2 linked regions of the Styela clava genome follow. The protein of the gene in region 1 interacts with the protein of each later gene in a pairwise test. Links are inferred from orthologs where the notes say so. Each region holds a gene or a part of one and is shown in the gene's direction. Other genes may lie near its edges. The genes, in order: epsin-2-like and WW domain-binding protein 2-like.

Region 1 (3,933 bases):
CAGTGACGTAATAGAGCCCTTCAAACTATATGAACTGCCATCCAAGACGAGCACCCGAAATGAACAGTTAGTTCTCTCGTTTGCCACGGGTGGGCAACCTTTTTCAGCTCGCGTGCCCAAATCGGCTAAATTTAACGACAAAAATTCTTCCGCGTGCCGACCAAAATTTAAAACAATGCTTTGTTACATTTAAAGCAAAAATACACAATGCTGCAATAATAAACCTTCTAAACATGTAAGCTACAGACAGATTCACTATTCGGGAAAATATCAGCCCGACAAATAGATTTGATTACTTTTCTTATTCTATATAAGTGAGACTTCTGCTGCTGCATTACCGTTGATAGAGATTTAGGCTACATTGAAAGAAAGTTACGAACTACTGGTTTCATCTTTCAGGCTACTCCTATTACTGTATTATGAGACTATTATGAGCTAAAGTTCATAACTGAGAACAGAAAGTCACAAGCATATGTAGATAAAAACATGCAGTTGCAATGTTTTTAAGACACGAAAAATTCTTCCCAATCACGCGATAGTTCGTTTTCTGCACTTCTCTCTTGTTTTCCCTTCTATAATTGCTTTTATTTCTTTCGAACTCAATTTATTTCAGTAAGTTAGCAAGTAACTCTAAACAACATAAGCTGTACAACTTCATAAATCAATCAGAAATGAAGAAAAATGGTGGCACAGACGAACTATATATTACGTGACAATGAACCCCCAATAAATGCTGTGTCTCGTCACAATTCGTTGAGAGCAATTCGTCATAATATATTTCTTTGTAGCCATATGTTATGAAAAGTCAAAAAGAGTTTAAAATTTTAAATGAATAACAGATTGTTAACAAACGATAATGAATAAACAAACACCTAGTTTCATCAGATAAATCAGAGCCTCAAAACTTTTTATCTGAAAGAGAATGATCTTGTTTCTGAGGCCTCGCTCACGTGCCGAATAAATGGGCTCGCGTGCCAGGGGTTGCCCACCCCTGTCCTAAGCAATAAACTTCATTTAAGATTTAGATTATACTGTTATCAGGGTATAATAAGAAGATAAGATTCAGTTTCTCTTTTTTAAACAAAATAAACAAATTTTTTGAAATCCATCTCAACCATTCTCGGCTATTTTTGAGAAATCTAGAAATTTAATGAATGTCTGAGTAGATATTTTGTTTAGGTTCATCAGGACAAATGTAGGTCTTATTTCTTCATGACTGTTATCCCCTTATTATTTAAAGTTTCATTTTTGATTTTACCTCTAACTGTATAAGCTAAATTTTTAGAAATGATTCCTGGCTGTCATATTATAGTATTAGTGTAACTTAAATCTGTAATCATTTTCTTCTGGTGAATTCTAACACACAAGCGTATCTCCGTATATATATATAGGAAAGGAAAAATGTCTGTTCGCCGAAACTTCATGAATGTTGTTCGTAACTACACAGAGGCTGAGGTTAAAGTTCGTGAAGCCACATCAAATGATGCCTGGGGTCCTTCAAGTTCACTGATGAGTGAAATAGCAGATATGACATATAATGTTATCGCATTTTCGGAAATAATGTCTATGATTTGGAAAAGAGTAAACGATCATGGGAAAAATTGGCGGCATGTTTATAAAGCACTTACGCTGTTGGATTATCTTATAAAAACTGGTTCAGAAAGAGTTGCTCAGCAGTGCAAGGAGAATATTTTTGCTATACAAACACTTAAAGATTTCCAGTTTCTTGATCGAGATGGGAAAGATCAAGGTTTAAATGTCAGAGAGAAATCGAAACAACTAGTCCTTCTTCTCAAAGATGAAGATCGTTTGAAAACTGAAAGAGCAAGAGCAATAAAAGCAAAAGAGAGATTTGCTCAGGCCACTACTGGTATAGGAAGTGATCGTCAGGTATGATTTTACGCTCTCATATCCCTGTTGTGGATGTTCACAAACTGATTTCCTGCATGAAGTTTCTATTTCGTTTGTACCCTTAAAACCTATCATTTGACATCTTTTAAAATTCTCATCTTCAGATTTTTTATTCACTATTTAAAAATTATTAATGCTGATTATTAAAAGGCATCGCTCTAATGTAATTTTGATTATTTAATTTTCAAGGCAACCTGAAATTCAGTGTAAAAATTTATAATAATAATAATAAATTTAAACTAATATTGAATAGCATGTTTGAATCAAATTGCATTTTATTTATGTTATTCACAAAACCTGCCAGTAAGATTAATATTCGACTACTATATTATTTCATACATTTTGTTATATGCTGATAAAATAAAGACATGACACAGTACCCAGTCTAGAAAATTGATGATGGGAGAAATTAAATCAAAAGTTTTTGGATTTATTATATGAAATATGAATCTTGAATCCTGTTATTTGCACTTTCACTATGACGCTGAAATTAGTTTTATTAATGAAAATCAATCAAAAAATCAATGTGCAAGTAATGACAGTTGGTTCTGAATCATGTGTGATTTGGAATATTTTTTGATTGGGGTTTTAAAATTTTTTATTAACGGTAAATTATATTTTAAAAAAGTTTGTGAAAAATGTTTACCAAAGAAATTTGATGGGAACCAATTTTTTTCTAATTGTACTTTATTTGAACTAACCTTATCTATACCCCCTAATTACAACAGTGCTCGTTCCAAGAATTAGGAGAATCTGTATTACTTTATTTAAAAACAAAATACAACTACCATATTCAAATTTGTTTGTTAACAAAAAGTATTAGTCAACTAACCAAATATCGTGGTTTATTCTCAAATCACATCTGGAATCTGAGAGGAATATTTTATTCAGATTCCAAGCCATAACCCATAATATTCATATTTTTCTTTGGCTTCATTTTAAAAAGATACGAATTGGTATTTTCAGTCTTGGTTTTGTATTTGAACTATCGCTTCTTATTGATTAGTTTTGATATTTTTCAGTTTTTCATGAAATGTGACCTACATTGGCTCATTATTTCCCTACTATTTATTCAAGATTGCAGATTCTTTTTTGCCCGTGGATTTCCCTAGGTTTAGTCAATAACGAAGATCACTTTAGAGTTGAAATGTTTAAAATACAGCAATATATAATCTTTTATTCAAAACTTCAGATTTCATATGGGCATGGAAGTTCAACACCGCAAACTCATCGTACACCGGAGACCAGACACACAGCTCTCACATCTTCACCAGTGTCAACAGAACTTGAGCAGGTATGAATAGGATTGTAAGAATTGATGAAAGAAAAAAATTGATGTGGTGCAGAAAAATGCATACCAGACATCCATAACTGTGACATACTAGTAGCCCATGAAAGAGACCTAACATGTGTCATGAAAGGTGTAGGAGGAATATAAATTTGTTGTTTTTTTGCTAATTGTGATTGTTTTCTATTTAAACTATCCTCTTCTTAATTTTTTTCGATTCATTTTATCTAATCCTCCTGCACCATGATAAGGACCATAATATTTAAGAGTCATTGTGATGTCACATTTATTCAAGACTGTTGCAGAGAAAGATTAGTTCAATTTTGCATAAAACAATATTATTGGAGATGCCTAGTTAAATAGTGTGTTTTGGCTATTCCAGGTTAAATTGATTAGTATTGTCACTATTGTGATCATTAGTGTGCTATGCTATGGCAAAATTTGAAATTTATTAGCGTGCAGTGATAATATTTATACTAAAAAAGTTTGTTAAGCTCTGATGGAGTTGTGATTCTCTTAGTTATGCTTATGACAAAATATGAAGTTCTGACTCTCTTGAGGTTGTGAAAAGGAAACTGGCTGGCTATTTATTGTGTTTTGATTAAAAGCTTTAACTTTATTCACAGTTTTTCTCAAATTTTTTACCTAATCGAAAAAAATTAAACCTTTTTTTTGTTTTTTTTCCACCTGACCAAAACAGTCATGTGTCATAAATGGATATCAAAACTTTGAAA
Region 2 (3,933 bases), on another chromosome or scaffold:
TATTATCACGACCCCGAGATGGTTGTAGAAATTTCACCTGATTGCAGGTATTGATTACCGCACAGCTAGGTATATCTCTGTTGGTGCTGTGGTAGAAAGCCTCGGCGCAGTCGGCGTTACCTCATATACCTGTATACAGATAACGTTATATCTCAAGCCATGACTGCATGAATTCAGGGTTGCTATGTGGCTTTTTAACACCAAATTCGCCATTTTTGGCTTTTTTCAAACACGATTGGCGTCAGAATTTACGTTTGGCTTTTTTCTTGACTTTTTTCAGTCTCCTTCAATGTGTATTATTAAAAATCATATGAAATACATTATACAATATTTAGTGTGTAACAATAGCCTATTGCTTAGCTATTTAACATTTGGAAGAGCATCGATTTTCTTGTTTATGACCATAACCAACAAAAAATAGTTGCAGTTTCTGCAGCCGCTCAAACAGATGTTCAAGCGGGGTTGTAAACATTGCCATGCTTTTAGTTATTTGTCAGTGTTCAGTTCTGTTCCCAAATATAGTTGTATGACTTAATTGTCATTCCTGCATTATGCCTTCCCAGGAGCTTTAGTTTAGTTGCAGTAATCAGAATTTAGTGTCACGAACGATTGTGATTAAATACGCTAAAATTAGCCATCAGTAGTCCGCCTGCAGACCTGTAAGCGGGCACATGGTTAGATAATTTTTTAAATAAAAATGATGGTTTTCAAAATGTTCAGTGAGAATGTTTTAAGGTATATCACAAACTGAAGCGTCACCCTGTGTATATATATTGAATTGTTGAGTGATGCTGTCCGCTTGATATTTCCTTCTATTTTTTTTATTTTCCCAACTCTTTCATATAGATATCAGTTTGACTGTATAATGTCAAATGTAGGTTCTGGTGCTGCCATTCAATTAACCCCTTTTCAACCCTCCATCTCGCTGAAGCGGAAATCGCCATGATAGCTAGCAACTGAAAATACAACTTTCAATGACTGAATGAGAAAAGACATTTGTGTGGCTCACTAAATGCTCTACATCAGGTGCTTTTGTAATTAGTAAAATTGTTGGCTTTTGCTGGCTTTTTTTTCGTCTCAATTTGGCCCTTTTTGATCACTAGGACAGTAGGATCTGGCAACCCTTTGCATGATGCTGTAATAGGATGGTTATGTACGGTACCTACTGACCTACAGCGAAAACTATACAATGTTGGGCGTTATTTAAGAAGTTCCCGGAACAAACACACCAACCTCGAACAGTGTCAGACATCGAAACATTGCAATTTGAAAGGCAGTTAAATGAGCATTTATAATTGAAGCCGCATGAGAATTTTTTTACAATTTTATGCACATGATACTACTCAACTGTGTTAATGCAAATAACAAAAACTAAAAGGATTTTACCTCTCTAGATTTACTCTAAACCCTGAAACTATAAGTTGGTAATATTTCATCACCTGGACCTTGCAAAACTTGTGCAGTCATGTCTATCAATAGATCGGCAGGACTCCAATTATTTCAAGGCGAGCTGACTGTGCAACAACACAAAGATGTTGAACTGAAATTCAAGAAGGTCAAATATTCATCTGAGCACTTGAAGGGATCGAAAGTCGGCCAGCTTTATCTTACGAATTTCAGAGCATTTTTTGTGAACAGCAAAACAAATGACATGCTACAAAATTTTAGCATGCCATTCAAACTCATAAAGGATTTTGAGATCAAGCAACCTGTGTTTGGCGCGAACCACTTGGAAGGAAAAATAATGGCTGAAGAAGGAGGTGGATGGCAAGGTTCCGCAGAATTTGAAATGACATTCAAGGTAATATTGATTTATTTTATTCAAGTACAAATAATGAAATTAAAAGTTAGCTGATTTTACCTTGAATTTTTAAACTCATTTCCTGGTTGATGCCATCACATAATATTTGGGCTCCCTAATTGAGCCTTGGAATGTATATTACTGTATTAGATGCATTGAAACATAACTATAATCTATAATATACATATCCTGTATAATGACCAAAAACACATTTTTTTTCCTTCTATCGTATCTCACCAACTAACATTGTATTTGTAACATGTATTCCTTTCCGGAAAAGTAAGTGTTAGTGATCAAATGAAATAAGCAGAACCTTATGATGGTTAAAAAATGAACCTGACTTGAAGGAAAGAATACTGACTCTTAAATTTGAGAATGGTCAATCAAGTGAACCTCGAAGAGAGAAATCAGCTGTGTGTGTCATGTGTAACAGCCATGCAATACATATAAGGTTATCATACAGCCCCAATTTGAAGTCCCAATGCTGTATATTGGAGCTCCGCTCTATAGGAGACCCTTATTCTCAATCGTTCTGTCTGTCTGTTTAGATGTAGCCTCTAAACGACTAGATCAATTTGGGTGAAATTTCTTATGTGAGTTAACCTGTCGAGTGTCATCCTAGTATTATGCGTATGAAATAAGCAGAACCTTATGATGGTTAAAAAAATGAACCTGACTTGAAGGAAAAAAATACTGACTCTTAAATTTGAGAATGGTCAATCAAGTGGACCTCGAAGAGAGAAATCAGCTGTGCGTGTCATGTGTAACAGCCATGCAATACATATAAGGTTATCATACAGCCCCAAGTTGAAGTCCCAATGCTGTATATTGGAGCTCCGCTCTATAGGAGACCCTTATTCTCGATCGTTCTGTCTGTCTGCTTAGATGTAGCCTCTAAACGGCTAGATCAATTTGGGTGAAATTTCTTATGTGAGTTAACCTGTCGAGTGTCATCCTAGTATTATGCGTTTCCTTGAAAGACTGGATTGTTGTTTCGCTTCCACGGCAGCAACCACAAAACATCCGATTGTGAGAAAATTTCTAATTTTTTGACATTCTGTTGCAATTTTCTTGTAAATTAAGTCGAAAATTAGAATTCTGAGATTGCTACCTCTCGCGAGAGAAAATGCTTTCTCTAACAAGCCGCCATTCATCTCGATACTCTATAAACTGGTGAAGCCTTTGGAATTAAATTGATTGATTGATGGAATTTTAGTGAACATGTTTCAATAATTAGCAACATTTTATTCCTCATGCAACGCTAAAAAGCAGACGCACAGCGTTCAAAATGAACAGGAAATATCGCCATCGGTAACAGGCAATATCGGTGATTGTTATTGCATGCGTAAATGGTCTCGGAAATAAAAGAGATTTGTATTCGAACGAAGTTACTGGTGACCACTAGAGTGCTACAGGGACTAAAACGAATTGGATCATCGCGATAGCATAATACAGACGCGGGGCTGAGTATCAGCGGAGATCCCGGGCGCCTACCGACTTGTTTTTTCATGTGACTCGTTCACGAAACCTTAGAGAAATTCTCAAGTACATAAATGTACTAGGGGAACTTGGATATTGTGTATTGAACTGCAGGTCCTTTCTCCTTGATTACTTTCTACTTCGGATCCGTATGTGGCACAGTAAAAATAACATGATCTCTTTCAACGAAATAGTAAGTATATTTGTGAGCTTTCGTTAGATCATGGTCTAACTTCTTCAAACAATACAAGATATAACTGTAAATATAAAAGATCATATAAATTTAGCCTATTATTGAGTTTCCTATAACTGGATATGGATGCTATCGTATCATCTTAGAATAGCAGGTCTAACTGATGTGGTTGGGTTGGGGTTCATCTATTTGGGTAGTTTCCTTTGTTTGTTTTTCATCGTTATTTGTTTGTATTGTTGTTGTTGTTTTGATGGTACTGTTTGTTTTTTGGTTTCATATTTGCGTTAAGGCCACTTCTTCGTTTGAGTTTTAATCTTTTCTATTGATTCCTTGTGGTTGCCGAGTCTTCATTTTGTCAATCCAAAAATGCTCTTTGTTTTTCCTGTAAAGTTTGTCGTGGGTTAGTGAGTCAATTCCTAGAATACTGAAATCGTCTATATTGTGCCCTTGCCTGTTAAAA

The links.
Region 2: the proteins of epsin-2-like (region 1) and WW domain-binding protein 2-like interact in binary tests that used the Homo sapiens proteins (3 or more experiments, as listed by UniProt). The link is inferred for Styela clava from reciprocal best matches to the Homo sapiens genes EPN2 and WBP2.

The regions. Positions count from the first base shown.
Region 1 is NC_135254.1:23,465,259-23,469,191, reverse strand, and holds the start of epsin-2-like, read left to right. Parts: upstream 1-1,268; 5' UTR 1,269-1,401; coding exon 1,402-1,890; intron 1,891-3,103; coding exon 3,104-3,205; intron 3,206-3,933. UniProt on the Homo sapiens protein: Plays a role in the formation of clathrin-coated invaginations and endocytosis.
Region 2 is NC_135251.1:30,812,445-30,816,377, reverse strand, and holds the start of WW domain-binding protein 2-like, read left to right. Parts: upstream 1-1,375; 5' UTR 1,376-1,465; coding exon 1,466-1,801; intron 1,802-3,933. UniProt on the Homo sapiens protein: Acts as a transcriptional coactivator of estrogen and progesterone receptors (ESR1 and PGR) upon hormone activation. In presence of estrogen, binds to ESR1-responsive promoters. Synergizes with YAP1 to enhance PGR activity.